2 linked regions of the Macaca fascicularis genome follow. The protein of the gene in region 1 purifies or fractionates together with the protein of each later gene. This does not show direct contact. Links are inferred from orthologs where the notes say so. Each region holds a gene or a part of one and is shown in the gene's direction. Other genes may lie near its edges.

Region 1 (6,114 bases):
CACCTGGCTCTTTTGAATGTTTACTGTACATTTTTAGTCTCCTGTGAATTGTTTGTTTAAATCTTATTTTTCTACTGAAAATTTTTTTTTTTTTTTTTTTTTTTTTTTTTTGAGACGGAGTCTCACTCTGTCGCCCCAGCTGGAGTGCAGTGGCGCGATCTCGGCTCACTGCAAGCTCCGCCTCCCAGGTTCACGCCATTCTTCTGCCTCAGCCTCCCGAGTAGCTGGGACTACAGGCGCCCGCCACCACGCCCAGCTAGTTTTTTGTATTTTTTATTTTTATTTTTATTTATTTATTTTTTTTTGAGACTGAGTCTGGCTCTGTCGCCCAGGCTGGAGTGCAGTGGCCGGATCTCAGCTCACTGCAAGCTCCACCTCCCGGGTTTACACCATTCTCCTGCCTCAGCCTCCAGAGTAGCTGGGACCACAGGCACCCGCCACCTCGCCCGGCTAGTTTTTTGTATTTTTTAGTAGAGACGGGGTTTCACCGTGTTAGCCAGGATGGTCTCGATCTCCTGACCTTGTGATCCGCCCGTCTCAGCCTCCCAAAGTGCTGGGATTACAGGCTTGAGCCACCGCGCCCGGCTGTTTTTTGTAGTTTTTAGTAGAGACGGGGTTTCACTGTGTTAGCCAGGATGGTCTCGATCTCCTGACCTCATGATCCGTCCGTCTCGGCCTCCCAAAGTGCTGAGATTACAGGCTTGAGCCACCGCGCCCGACCGAAATTTTTTCTTACTGATGGAACATTTCCTTCTTTCCCTCCCCACTCCCTCTGTCCCTCCTTCCCTCCTTCCTTCTCCTTTCTTTTCCCTTTTCTTTTCTTTTCTTTTTTTTTTTTTGAGATGGGATCTTGCAGTATTGCCCAGGCTGGACTTGAACTGCTGGTCCTTCCACCTCAGCCGATTGAGTAGCTAGACTATAGTCATGCTCCACTGCACGTGGCCTGATGGAACGTTTCGTAAATAATCCTTCTCAGTCTGTCATTTGTCTTTGATCTTCATTGTGGTGTCTTCTGCCGTATAGAAATTTAGCATTTAATGTAAATAATACCACATCACTTGGGCGTGGTGGCCCATGCCTTTAATCCCAGCACTTTGGGAGGCTGAAGCAGGTGGATCACGAGGTCAGATTGAGACCAGCCTGATCGACATGGTGAAACCCCATCTCTACTAAAATACAACAATTACCTGGGCGTGGTGGTGCACACCTGTAATCCCAGCTCCTCAGGAGGCTGAGGCAGGAGAATCGCTTGATCCCGGGAGGCGGAGGTTGCAGTGAGCCAAGATCGCGCCACTGCACTCCAGCCTGGGTGACAGAGTGAGATTCTGTCTCAAAAAAAAAATAAAATAATAGTAATAATACCACCTCTCCCTCAGAATTGTATGTTGTATCTTAGAAAGGCCTTTCCTACTTAAATAATGCAAAAGTATGCTCTAGTATTTTTTCTAGGTTTTTTGTGGCTAAAATTTTTATCTTTAATCCATTTAGAATTTATTTTTGGTATAGAACGAGGCAAGGACCTGATTCTTTTTCCCTTATAGGGGAAAGAAAGTCACAATACCATTTATCCTATAATCTTTTTTTTTTTTTTTTTTTTTTTTGAGATGGAGTCTCGCTCTGTCACCCAGGCTGGAGTGCAGTGGCCGGATCTCAGCTCACTGCAAGCTCCGCCTCCCGGGTTCACGCCATTCTCCTGCCTCAGCCTCCCGAGTAGCTGGGAGTACAGGTGCCTGCCACCTCACCCGGCTAAGTTTTTGTATTTTTAGTAGAGACGGGGTTTCACCATGTTAGCCAGGATGGTCTGGATCTCCTGACCTCGTGATCCGCCCGCCTCGGCCTCCCAAAGTGCTGGGATTACAGGCTTGAGCCACCACGCCCGGCCTATCCTATAATCTTTTTCTTATGGAAGCATAATTACCATGTCTGTCACTATCACCTTTTCTTTCTTTCTTCTTCCTTTTTTTTTTTTTTTTTTTTTGAGACAAAGTTTTGCTCTTGTTGCCCAGGTTGGAGAGCGATGATGTGATCTTGGCCCACTGCAACCTCTGCCTCCCGGGTTCAAGTGATTCTCTTGCCTCAGCCTCCCAAGTAGCTGGGATTACAAGCACCCGCCACCACGCCCCGGCTAATTTTTGCAGTTTTAGTAGAGACAGGGTTTTCTTCATGTTGGCCAGGCTGGTCTCAAACTCCTGACCTCAGGTGATCCACCCACCTCGGCCTTCCAAAGTGTTAGGATTACAGGCGTGAGCCACCGTGCCCAGCCTCTGCTTTTTATTGTATTTTTCCTTTTCTTTTTTGCCTTCCTGTCCAGAGGAAACACTATTCTTTTCTAAAGCTTGGTTTCTGCTGACCAGTAGCAGTTTTTAACTTGGGTCCGATTTCCTTCTGTCAGCCTGTAGGCTTTGCTGGGTTACCTCTCCTGACTAATTTGTGTAGCAACTTCATGTGAATTTGTTTTTTTTTTTTTTTTTTTTTTTTTTGGGAGACGGAGTCTCGCTGTGTCGCCCAGGCTGGAGTGCAATGGTGTGATCTTGGCTCACTGCAAGCTCCGCCTCCCGGGTTCACGCCATTCTCCTGCCTCAGCCTCCCGAGTAGCTGGGACTACAGGTGTCCGCCGCCACGCCCGGCTAATTTTTTGTATTTTTAGTAGAGACGGGGTTTCACCGTGTTAGCCAGGATGGTCTGGATCTCCTGACCTCGTGATCCGCCCGCCTCGGCCTCCCAAAGTGCTGGGATTACAGGCAAGAGCCACCGTGCCCGGCCAACTTCACATGAATTTAAATATTTGTGTCATCAGGTACACTCACTTTGAAAATGTTATTGGGAGGCTTGTTAAGGCAAGTGTCTTTTGTGTTACTGTTCTACACTCAGGCCTTCTGGAAACCCTGCAGAGGGTAGCTCTAGTGGCCAGCTCTCTTGTTGAAAATGAGTGACATAAGTACATGAAAAACCCAACAAGGAGGATTTGAAAGCGGGGCTAATTTTACACTTACTTCTTCCTGGGATAAAAGTCTTAAACTTTGTTTAAAGTGAAGTGTATGTATTTCTGACAGTGATTTGTTTCACTTAAATAGCTTGTTGTTTGTTTCTTTCATTTTTCTTTCTCAAGTTTTGGGTTGGGTTTGTTTCCCGTGAGTTTTGCCCCTGCCTCCTTCCTCCTCGTGCCTGCAGAGACATTGCTGGTGTGGCATCCTCCAGGCCCGTCCCCACCCTTTTTCTTGGCACACCTTCTCTAGGATGGCCAGGACAGTGACTTAGGTTCCACATCTGTGACTAACCATTTTCATTCCGTTCTACAGCTTTGACAATTACTCTGCCAATGTTATGGTAGATGGAAAACCGGTGAATCTGGGCTTATGGGATACAGCTGGACAAGAAGATTATGACAGATTACGCCCCCTATCCTATCCGCAAACAGTAAGGATTGCAGCTGATTTTTAATGTGTCTTTTTTAGAGTATATAATTCTCGAGCGTTTAATTAGTGCATGTTACCTGTGGACTTGCTTATATTGCCATCATTTGGATATTGAGTAAATAGCAGACGGGGCGGAATTAGTTCCGTATAAACATCCCCCTAGATGGCAGGGGTTTTGTGTTTTGAGCGTTAACAGCTGTTCCATTGTTGGGCATTTTACAGTCTTCCATTTAGCTTCAGAATAACCGTATGAAAGGTGCTTTTTGTTTTGTTTTGTTTTTGCAAATCAGTTTTTAACACCAATTGGTTTGAAGACAAGTTTGCTGTGTGACAGTTTTGTACCGCAGAATCAAATTAAGCAGTTAAGATTCGGGTTTCTTTAAACCAAGTTAGTAACTAATCTTACAGGTTTAATGCATTTTTTCCCACAAAATACATAATTTGTATGGCTATAGAACCTAAATCTATTCAATGTAGATTGAGGTTTTGGTTTTGTAAAATGTATCCACTGTGTCCAATCAGAAAAAAAAGTTTAGTTTTTTTTTCTGTATCAGACAAAAGTGATTTATTTATCAAAGCTAATTAGAGCAGTAGCTGGTGAAAATGGGTACTTAGAAGACATTGTTGTGGTTAAAAGTTACTTTTCTTTAAGCAGTTGTTTTACTTGTGTATCTTTTGCTGATCTTGTTACATGTTTGTTCTTCATTTTTAAAAGTGTCTTTGGAAGCAAAACTTAAATATGCTTGAGATTCCTTGGGTGGATATCCTGTGTGCATGTCCTATCCTAGCTCTGTGACCTCAGGCAGGCCTCTTCCTCTCTCCAGTCTTTGCCTGTGTCCTCGTAGGGTGAGATGAGTACATGTCACGCACCCCTAGCAGTCCTGGGCACACAGCACACACTGCGGGCCAGCCGCTGTCAGAATTCTCCTGCTCCTGAGTGTGCGGGTGGGTCAGCCTAGAGAGCGCTGCTCTCCACGTTGTGCCCAAACGAGTGGCAGTTGTGTGGGTGCTCGGCAAACCTGGATTGGCCGGAGGGATTGGGGTTTGGGGTTGAATTGAGGTGAGGAAGACTTCCTAGAGAAAGGCTGGCTTTGAGCCCCGATTGATGATGAGGCAGCCTGTGGTTTTAGGGGGTATTATGGATGAAATAACTTAGTAGTTAAATCTACTGTATTAACAATCAGTCTATAATCCCCAGACAATTCAAATTCTTCTCAGTACCTTAGGAAACTATACCCAGTGGATGTTTACTGATTCAGATTGTAAATGGATTTAAAAACATACTGACTGGTAGAGTAGGAGTCTCCAGCCCACTGGACACATGTGGAAGGGTGTGGTGTCATTCTGAGAAATGAGAGCCACCCTGCTGTGACTCAGGGGGTACCGGGCAGGGCGCGGCCTTTCTCTAAGGGACGCCTCACAGTAAGTCAAGGGTGACTTGGCAGGAGTCCCACTTTGTGTTCTGAGGAACAACAGATGAGGAAGGAGAACTCTCCTCAGCTTGAACAAAGCTGTAGAGTGTGAGGCCTGGTATGAAAGCAGGTGTCCTCATAGGGCTAGCACTTAAACTTCATGTCTCCTCTGTGTGAGACCATGGACTGCTTTCCTAGAAAATATTTGAAGAGCAAGAAGGGAGTGAGACATGGTTCTTGCCCTCAGGCAGTTCACGGAAAAGTACCATAAATCATGTAATACACCCTGTACCAGCAAGGGGGTGAACGGGGCGCTTAAGGAGCAAGAGGAACGAGCACCCACCCAGCAGTGGAAGGCTTCCTGCCCGGACTCCTTCAGAGATAAGGAAATTATCTTGACAACTCAGGGCAGGCCACAAATGCTCAGACACCAGTGTCTGGAAGGCCTCATCCCTTTGGGCCACACGGTGCTAAGAAGAACAGGATCTGGGAGCAACATGCTGGCACCTGGGTCTCTTGTGGATACAGGTGAAACCTCTAAATTTTGTACTAAATGGAATGTGGTCCCTGGTTGCTGGCTCTGTGATCTGCAGACCTGTTTATGTAGCTCATCCAAGACTGCTTAGACACACTCCTGAAGGACCAGTTGGAAGATTTCTTACCTAGGGCGTCCTAAAAGAGATATTACATTTCCTGTGGTCATTTCACGTTGGCATCCTTCTCTGTTGGGTAGCTCTGTCTGGCTAAGTCTGTTCAGACTATTCGTTTCTTCGTTCTCCAAAAGATGGTGAGGAGGTAGTCGCCATTCTCAGTTGAAATTGCCCTCAGGTTTTTATTTTCTCGAAATAATCGTTAAATTATTTTCTCTTGAAAGTCTTTCCTAAGTTCTGCATACTCATCTTCAGTTGGCATGCACAGAACCAAGTCTTGTCAGAGTGATGCTCAGGTTCAGCATCTTCCCTTGTGTAGATCCCCTGTATTTATTTGCCTGCTTGCACCAGGATTGCTGGTGTGAGCGGGAGCCTAAGTAACCTGTCAGTGTCACAACGAGTCCTGAGCCCTGTGCGTGTCCTGAGACTCAGGCTGTGTGGCGGGTTCGCTGAGATGCTGAGCCTCCATGTTGGGGTCAGCCAGGACCCCAGTGCGTCATGCCAATTGTTTCATTTTCTTGCTATGCTAAAAGTTTGTCTTTTTGAGACGGAGTTTCGCTCTTGTTGCCCAGGCTGGAGTGCAGTGGTGTGATCTTGGCTCACTGCAACCTCCGCTTCCCAGGTTCAGGCGACTTT
Region 2 (6,114 bases), on another chromosome or scaffold:
TCTTGGCTGAGGCAGAGCTGCTGAAGCTCCAGGAAGAGGTAGTTAGGAAGATCCGATCCAATCAGCAGCTGGAGCAGGACCTCAACATCATGGACATCAAGATTGGCCTGCTGGTGAAGAACCGGATCACTCTGCAGGTGTGGGGCCCACCAGTCCTCCCCTTCCCCAGATCTGTCTACCTCTGGAGATGTGATGCTGACCATTCTCTGTTTGCTAATCAATTTTTTCAAAATGGTGTGGATTTTATCACCTGACTCAGTTCCTTGTTCCAGTGGCCCTCTGCCATTCTAATAAATCATTTCGGGGGACCCATGACAGAGTAGAAAGAGCATGAGACCTAAAATCAGAATGCCCGGCTCTGCTGATTCCTAGGGATGGGGCTGTGGGTGCTCATTTCACTTCTAAGTCTGTTTTCTCATTAGCAAACTGGGAATAATGAGAATGTCCGCCTCTCCAGGCCAAATATAGAGATAGATAAGAAAGCTCTTTAAATCATAAATTACCATACAAATATGCAGTGACAGGGTAATAGTGACATAGTGATAGCTCCACCTCAAATGTGTGTAGCAGTCTAATAAGAAGTGATAGCAAAAGCCAAATAGACACAATTCCTCAGCCTGGCAACCCAATTCTCTTTGGAGACTCACTCCCATGACAGGAGAGGAACCAGATGGGGTCTCAGGGCACTAGGAGGGGCCCTTCCTCACCCTAGAACTGCTTCTCTCCCCCAGCTTATGCCTGTTCCTTGAACAGCAGAAAGCCCTGGCTCTTCAAGGCACTGATTCTGGACCATACGTTCTGTGCCCTGGGATGGCCTAGGCTGGTTGTATCACCCATTCCTCCACCCCTGCAGGAAGTGGTCTCCCACTGCAAGAAGCTGACCAAGAGGAATAAGGAACAGCTGTCGGATATGATGGTTCTGGACAAGCAGAAGGGATTAAAGTCACTGAGCAAAGAGAAACGGCAGAAACTAGAAGCATACCAACACCTCTTCTACCTGCTCCAGGTTAGCAGAGGACTTTCCAAGGAGAAGTCTCTCCCATCTCCTGAGGGTCTGAGACTTCAAGGCCTTCTTGTTTGTGCCTTTGACACCATGCAAGGTGTCCTTTCCCATAATCTTAATTCCTTATCCCCAGGAAAAGAGACTACCTCTTCCCCTGTTTGTCTGGAATGTCACTAGCACCTGGAGAAAGTGTGGTAGTGCTTTCTCCATTCCAGATTTCCATCGAGGGAAAACTTTTCTTTATCCTATCACTGGTCCTTGAAGTACATGGTCAGCCATTCCTGTCTCCCCTCTTGCTTGCAGACTCAGCCCATCTACCTGGCCAAGCTGATCTTTCAGATGCCACAGAACAAAACCACCAAGTTCATGGAGGCAGTGATTTTCAGCCTGTACAACTATGCCTCCAGCCGCCGAGAGGCCTATCTCCTGCTCCAGCTGTTCAAGACAGCACTCCAGGAGGAAGTCAAGTAGGCTCTCCAGACACAAAGGAATGGGGAGAGAATGGGTTAAGAGATGCCCCTGTTGGCTTCTTCACAAGGTGACAGCTTGTTGAGGCTTAAGGGTAGAAATGGAATCAGAAGACCTCTGTTCTCTGCCTCCTGTGGAGAAACTGTAAAACATCTGGGACAGCACAGTGGGAGGATATGGGCTGACATGCTAACACAAAGGATGAGAGAGATATCAAGACATTCCTTAAGAGCAGGGACACCAGGGCAGGCTTTGAGAGCCAAAATCTCAAAAAGGAAAAGTAACGGTTTGTCCTACACAGAGGCAGAAGACTAGCTTCAATGACCTCTTAAACCACAGGTCAAAGGTGGAGCAGCCCCAGGACGTGGTGACAGGCAACCCAACAGTGGTGAGGCTGGTGGTGAGATTCTACCGCAATGGGCGGGGACAGAGTGCCCTGCAGGAGATTCTGGGCAAGGTTATCCAGGATGTGCTAGAGGACAAAGTGCTCAGCGTCCACACAGACCCTGTCCACCTCTATAAGAACTGGATCAACCAGACTGAGGCCCAGACAGGGCAGCGCAGGTGAGCACATGGGCAGAGGGAGAGCTCTTTTTGATCAGCTGTGTCTCGACCCTACTGGGGAAGCTTGGGGGTACTTTGAAGGTGGCATATAAATGGGCGTGCTGATTTATGCAAATATGATACCAGCTTTTTAGGCATGAATAAGGTAGTCTTTTAGACCCCCTCTGATAATTAACATGAAACTAATGTAAATGACTCCAGACCTGGTGGGCTTAACTAAAATGAGTACAGATGAATATGCAAATGTGCTTAATTGCTATGTCAGTGCTTGCAAATGATGTGTCAAATTTGCTGGCAGTAGGGCTGGGCCCAGTGGCTCACGCCTGTAATCCCAGCACTTTGGGGGCTCAAGGTGGGCGGATCACCTAAGGTCAGGAGTTTGAGACTAGCCTGGCCAACATGGTGAAACCCCATCTCTACTAAAAATACAAAAATTAACCTTGTGTTGTGGCGTACTCCTGTAGTCCCAGCTACTCGGGAGGCTGAGGCAAGAGAATCACTTGAACCTGGGAGGCAGAGGTTGCGGTGAGCTAAGATCGTGCCACTGCACTCCAGCTCTGGGCAATAGAGTGAGACTCTGTCCCCCCTACCAAAAAAAAATTGCTGGGAGTTAGGACATGGACTCCTATTTATAGGGGTATAGATGAATATTTCTATTTATAGATGAATAGGCAAACGAGATAGTGGGAGAAATAGGTTGCCCTTATCGCCTGGGGTCATTGCTCAGGTCTCTAGGTGCTAGGGAAACATAGCCATGGAGGCGAGCAGGCAATCCTGGTGGCTGTTCTGGATGGCACAGGAGGCTTTAAGTGAGGAAACGATAAGGCTCTGGCCCAGCCTCTCCATTATTCCAAACTCCCAAAGACTATTTGCAGCGCAGCCGCCTGCTTGTCATCTGTTCCCCTTAGAAGTGTCCATAGATTCCAGGTTCTCTGTTCCTTCCTACATTCTTCCAGCTTCCCTGTAGATACTCCAACTCTTCTTCACCTCCCGATTGCATTTCTCCAGTCCTTACTCTCATTCTGGCCCTTTCTCCTTTAGCATGCTGAGCTGTCCTTAGCACATCTGTATAAGATCTTGTTGTTAGACAAGAGGTTAAGGAATAGGGCCTTGGGGAAGGAGGCCATTGGAGGGTGCTCCTGTTTATACCTTGTCTCTCTCTGCTCATAGCCATCTCCCGTATGATGTCACCCCGGAGCAGGCCTTGAGCCACCCCGAGGTCCAGAGACAACTGGATATCGCCCTACGCAACCTCCTCGCCATGACTGATAAGTTCCTTGTAGCCATTACTTCATCTGTGGACCAAATTCCGTATGTGCAACAGCCCCACCCCAGCCTACACATGGGATTTTGAGAGGGCCAGGCCACCATGGGGAGCAGAGCAGGGTGATAGTCCTGCAGGGAGGAAGGCAGGGAGGGAGATAGAGCCAGGGGTACTCAGAGGGGTTCCTGGAGAGATGTGGGGAATGCTCCAAGCTCCTGCTAGACAGCTGAGCTGAAAGATGGCATGTAGGTCTGCATGTGGCCTGGTAAGATGTCAGTGGAACCAGAGCAGGGACCCTAAAATGATCTCAGGGACACTTTATTATCTAAGAGCAAATGAGGAGAAAATGGGACTCTTCAGATCCTAATATCAAAAATAAATATTTTAAGCCCATAAAGTACTTTATAGTTCTCTCTTTTCTTTAAATTTAGTCAATACATTTGGTTTTCTACATTTATTTTTTGACACATAATAATTGTACATGTTCATAGGGTACAGTGTGATGTTTTGATACATATATACATTGTGCAATGAATGATGAAATCAAGGTAATTAGCATATCTATTACCTCAAACATTTATTTGTGGTGAGAACATTCAAAATCCTCTCTTCTAGCTATTTTGAGATATACAATACATTATTATCAACTATAGTCACCTCCTGTGCAATAGAGCACCAGAATTTATTCTTCCCGCCTGACTATAACTTTGTACCCATTGACCAACCTCTCCCCATCTTCTCTCCCCCTCTCCTGCCCTCCCCCGGCTCTGGTAACCACCATTCTACTCTCTACTCCTGTGAAATCACCTTTTTTAGATTCCACATATGAGTGAGATCATGCAGTATTCGTCCTTCTGTGTTTGGCTTATGTCACTTAACACGAACCTCTAGGTTCATCTATGTTGTCGAAAATGGCAGGATTTCATTCTTTTGTTTGTTTTTCTTTATTTTTTATTATTTTTGAGACAGGGTGTCACTCTGTTGCCCAGGCTGGAGTGCCCAGGGCAAGATGAGGATGCTGAAAGGGGGAACCCATAGAGTTCATAACCCTGCTCCCCAAACCTGGAGAACTGGATTAAGAGTTTACAATTAGGAGTAAGAAAAGATTGTTCTAGGCTTAAGAAAGGAAAGTACACAATGAGCTGTAAACTTCTGTCTCTGGTACCCTAGGAGGGGAAATTGCTTTTAAACGAATTTAATTACATTTGTAGGTGGCACATCCATAATAAGAAGAATAATGATAATGAAGTCTAGCACATTTGAATAGTACTCTACCATTATGCATTACTCTCGCAGACATAATTTCACTTGATCCTCAAAAAACCCTGTGAGAAGAGAGGGCAAGAATGATCATTCCCATTTTCTAGACCAGGGGACAGACTTACAAAGGGGAAGGAAATAGCCTAAGATAATATCTCTGGTTGGTGGTGGAGTCCAAACTGGAGCTTCTCCTCCTGGCTACTTGATCTCCTTGGGACCCTGCCTCTAGCCCAGACTAGGCCACTCACAGGTGCTCTGTGACAGCTGACAAGGTTGACTACCTCAGAGCCACCTAGGCTGTCCTAGGACAGGGTTTTGGCTGTGAGTGTCAAATACCCAAGCTTTAGGTTAACAGTGCCTCTGGGGGATGGGGGATGACTGTGGTGATCTGGAGTGCTCTGTAGGGGAGACCAGAGAGTCTCAAAGAAGAGGTTCTCAAGCCAGGTTGGAGGCTGTGTGAGACATTTAGTAGATAATAGGCCCCTGGTCCTGACTACTGACACAAGGCAGGAGGGATAGACAAGGCCCAGAGATGTTCAGAGGAAGGCAGCAGGGAGGTGGCTATGTATAGTGGAGGGACAGTGCTTGAGCTCCACTCTGGAGTGGCTGAGCCTGGGGGAGGAGAGACAGCCATGCACTCAAGCTCTTATATCTGGCAGAGAGAGATGGGCAGAGGCACAGGCACAGTGCACCTGTTTCTTTGTCCCCAGGTACGGGATGCGATATGTGGCCAAAGTCCTGAAGGCAACTCTGGCAGAGAAATTCCCTGACGCCACAGACAGCGAGGTCTATAAGGCAAGTGTTGTCTTCCCACCCCCACCTTCCAATCCCTCCTTTGCTTTGCTGGTATCTGCGATCCTCAGACCGAAACAAAAACACAAAAAATCCTATGCCATAAAAATCCAAGGAGGGAAATATGCTGCCCCTTGTAAATGGAGCCTGGCTCACGCTGGGGCATGAGCGAACAGAGTGGGCAACACTGGCTTCTTGTCAGGAGATCTAGGTTCAAGTCCCAGCTCTTGCTCAGGTTTGCTGTGTGGCCTTGAGAAAGTTGCCTGCCTGCTCTGGGCCTGTTTTCTTTGAAGTGAGGGGGTTGGCCCAGGTATCCCTTCCAGCCAAGCAAGCTGGGAATGTGGGGCTGCACCAGTCAAGGTGGCCCCTGGACACTTCTGGGAGAGTCTTCTCTGCCCTCAGGTGGTCGGGAACCTCCTGTACTACCGCTTCCTGAACCCAGCTGTGGTGGCTCCTGACGCCTTCGACATTGTGGCCATGGCAGCTGGTGGCACCCTGGCTGCCCCCCAGCGCCATGCCCTGGGGGCTGTGGCTCAGCTCCTACAGCACGCTGCGGCTGGCAAGGCCTTCTCTGGGCAGAGCCAGCACCTGCGGGTCCTGAATGACTATCTGGAGGAAACACACCTCAAGTTCAGGTCTTGGGTCCCTTTCCTCTCTGTCCCCTTTCTTCCCTCTTCTCATCTTTGACATCCCGCTTCTCCCCTCCAGAATCCATGAGGACAAGAGGCATAAATAGAAGGGAAGAGCGTAATGAGTGGGGTGG

The links. Proteins that work in one complex are often made in the same cells at the same time.
Region 2: the proteins of RAC1 (region 1) and IQGAP3 purify together in Homo sapiens (affinity purification with mass spectrometry; 3 studies listed by BioGRID and IntAct, with this or other methods). This does not show direct contact. The link is inferred for Macaca fascicularis from reciprocal best matches to the Homo sapiens genes RAC1 and IQGAP3.

What each region holds. Positions count from the first base shown.
Region 1 is NC_088377.1:45,973,317-45,979,430, reverse strand, and holds part of RAC1 (ras-related C3 botulinum toxin substrate 1), read left to right. Parts: intron 1-3,299; coding exon 3,300-3,417; intron 3,418-6,114. UniProt on the Homo sapiens protein: Plasma membrane-associated small GTPase which cycles between active GTP-bound and inactive GDP-bound states.
Region 2 is NC_088375.1:104,535,535-104,541,648, forward strand, and holds part of IQGAP3 (ras GTPase-activating-like protein IQGAP3), read left to right. Parts: coding exon 1-137; intron 138-853; coding exon 854-1,006; intron 1,007-1,306; coding exon 1,307-1,470; intron 1,471-1,810; coding exon 1,811-2,035; intron 2,036-3,205; coding exon 3,206-3,346; intron 3,347-5,269; coding exon 5,270-5,354; intron 5,355-5,753; coding exon 5,754-5,986; intron 5,987-6,114.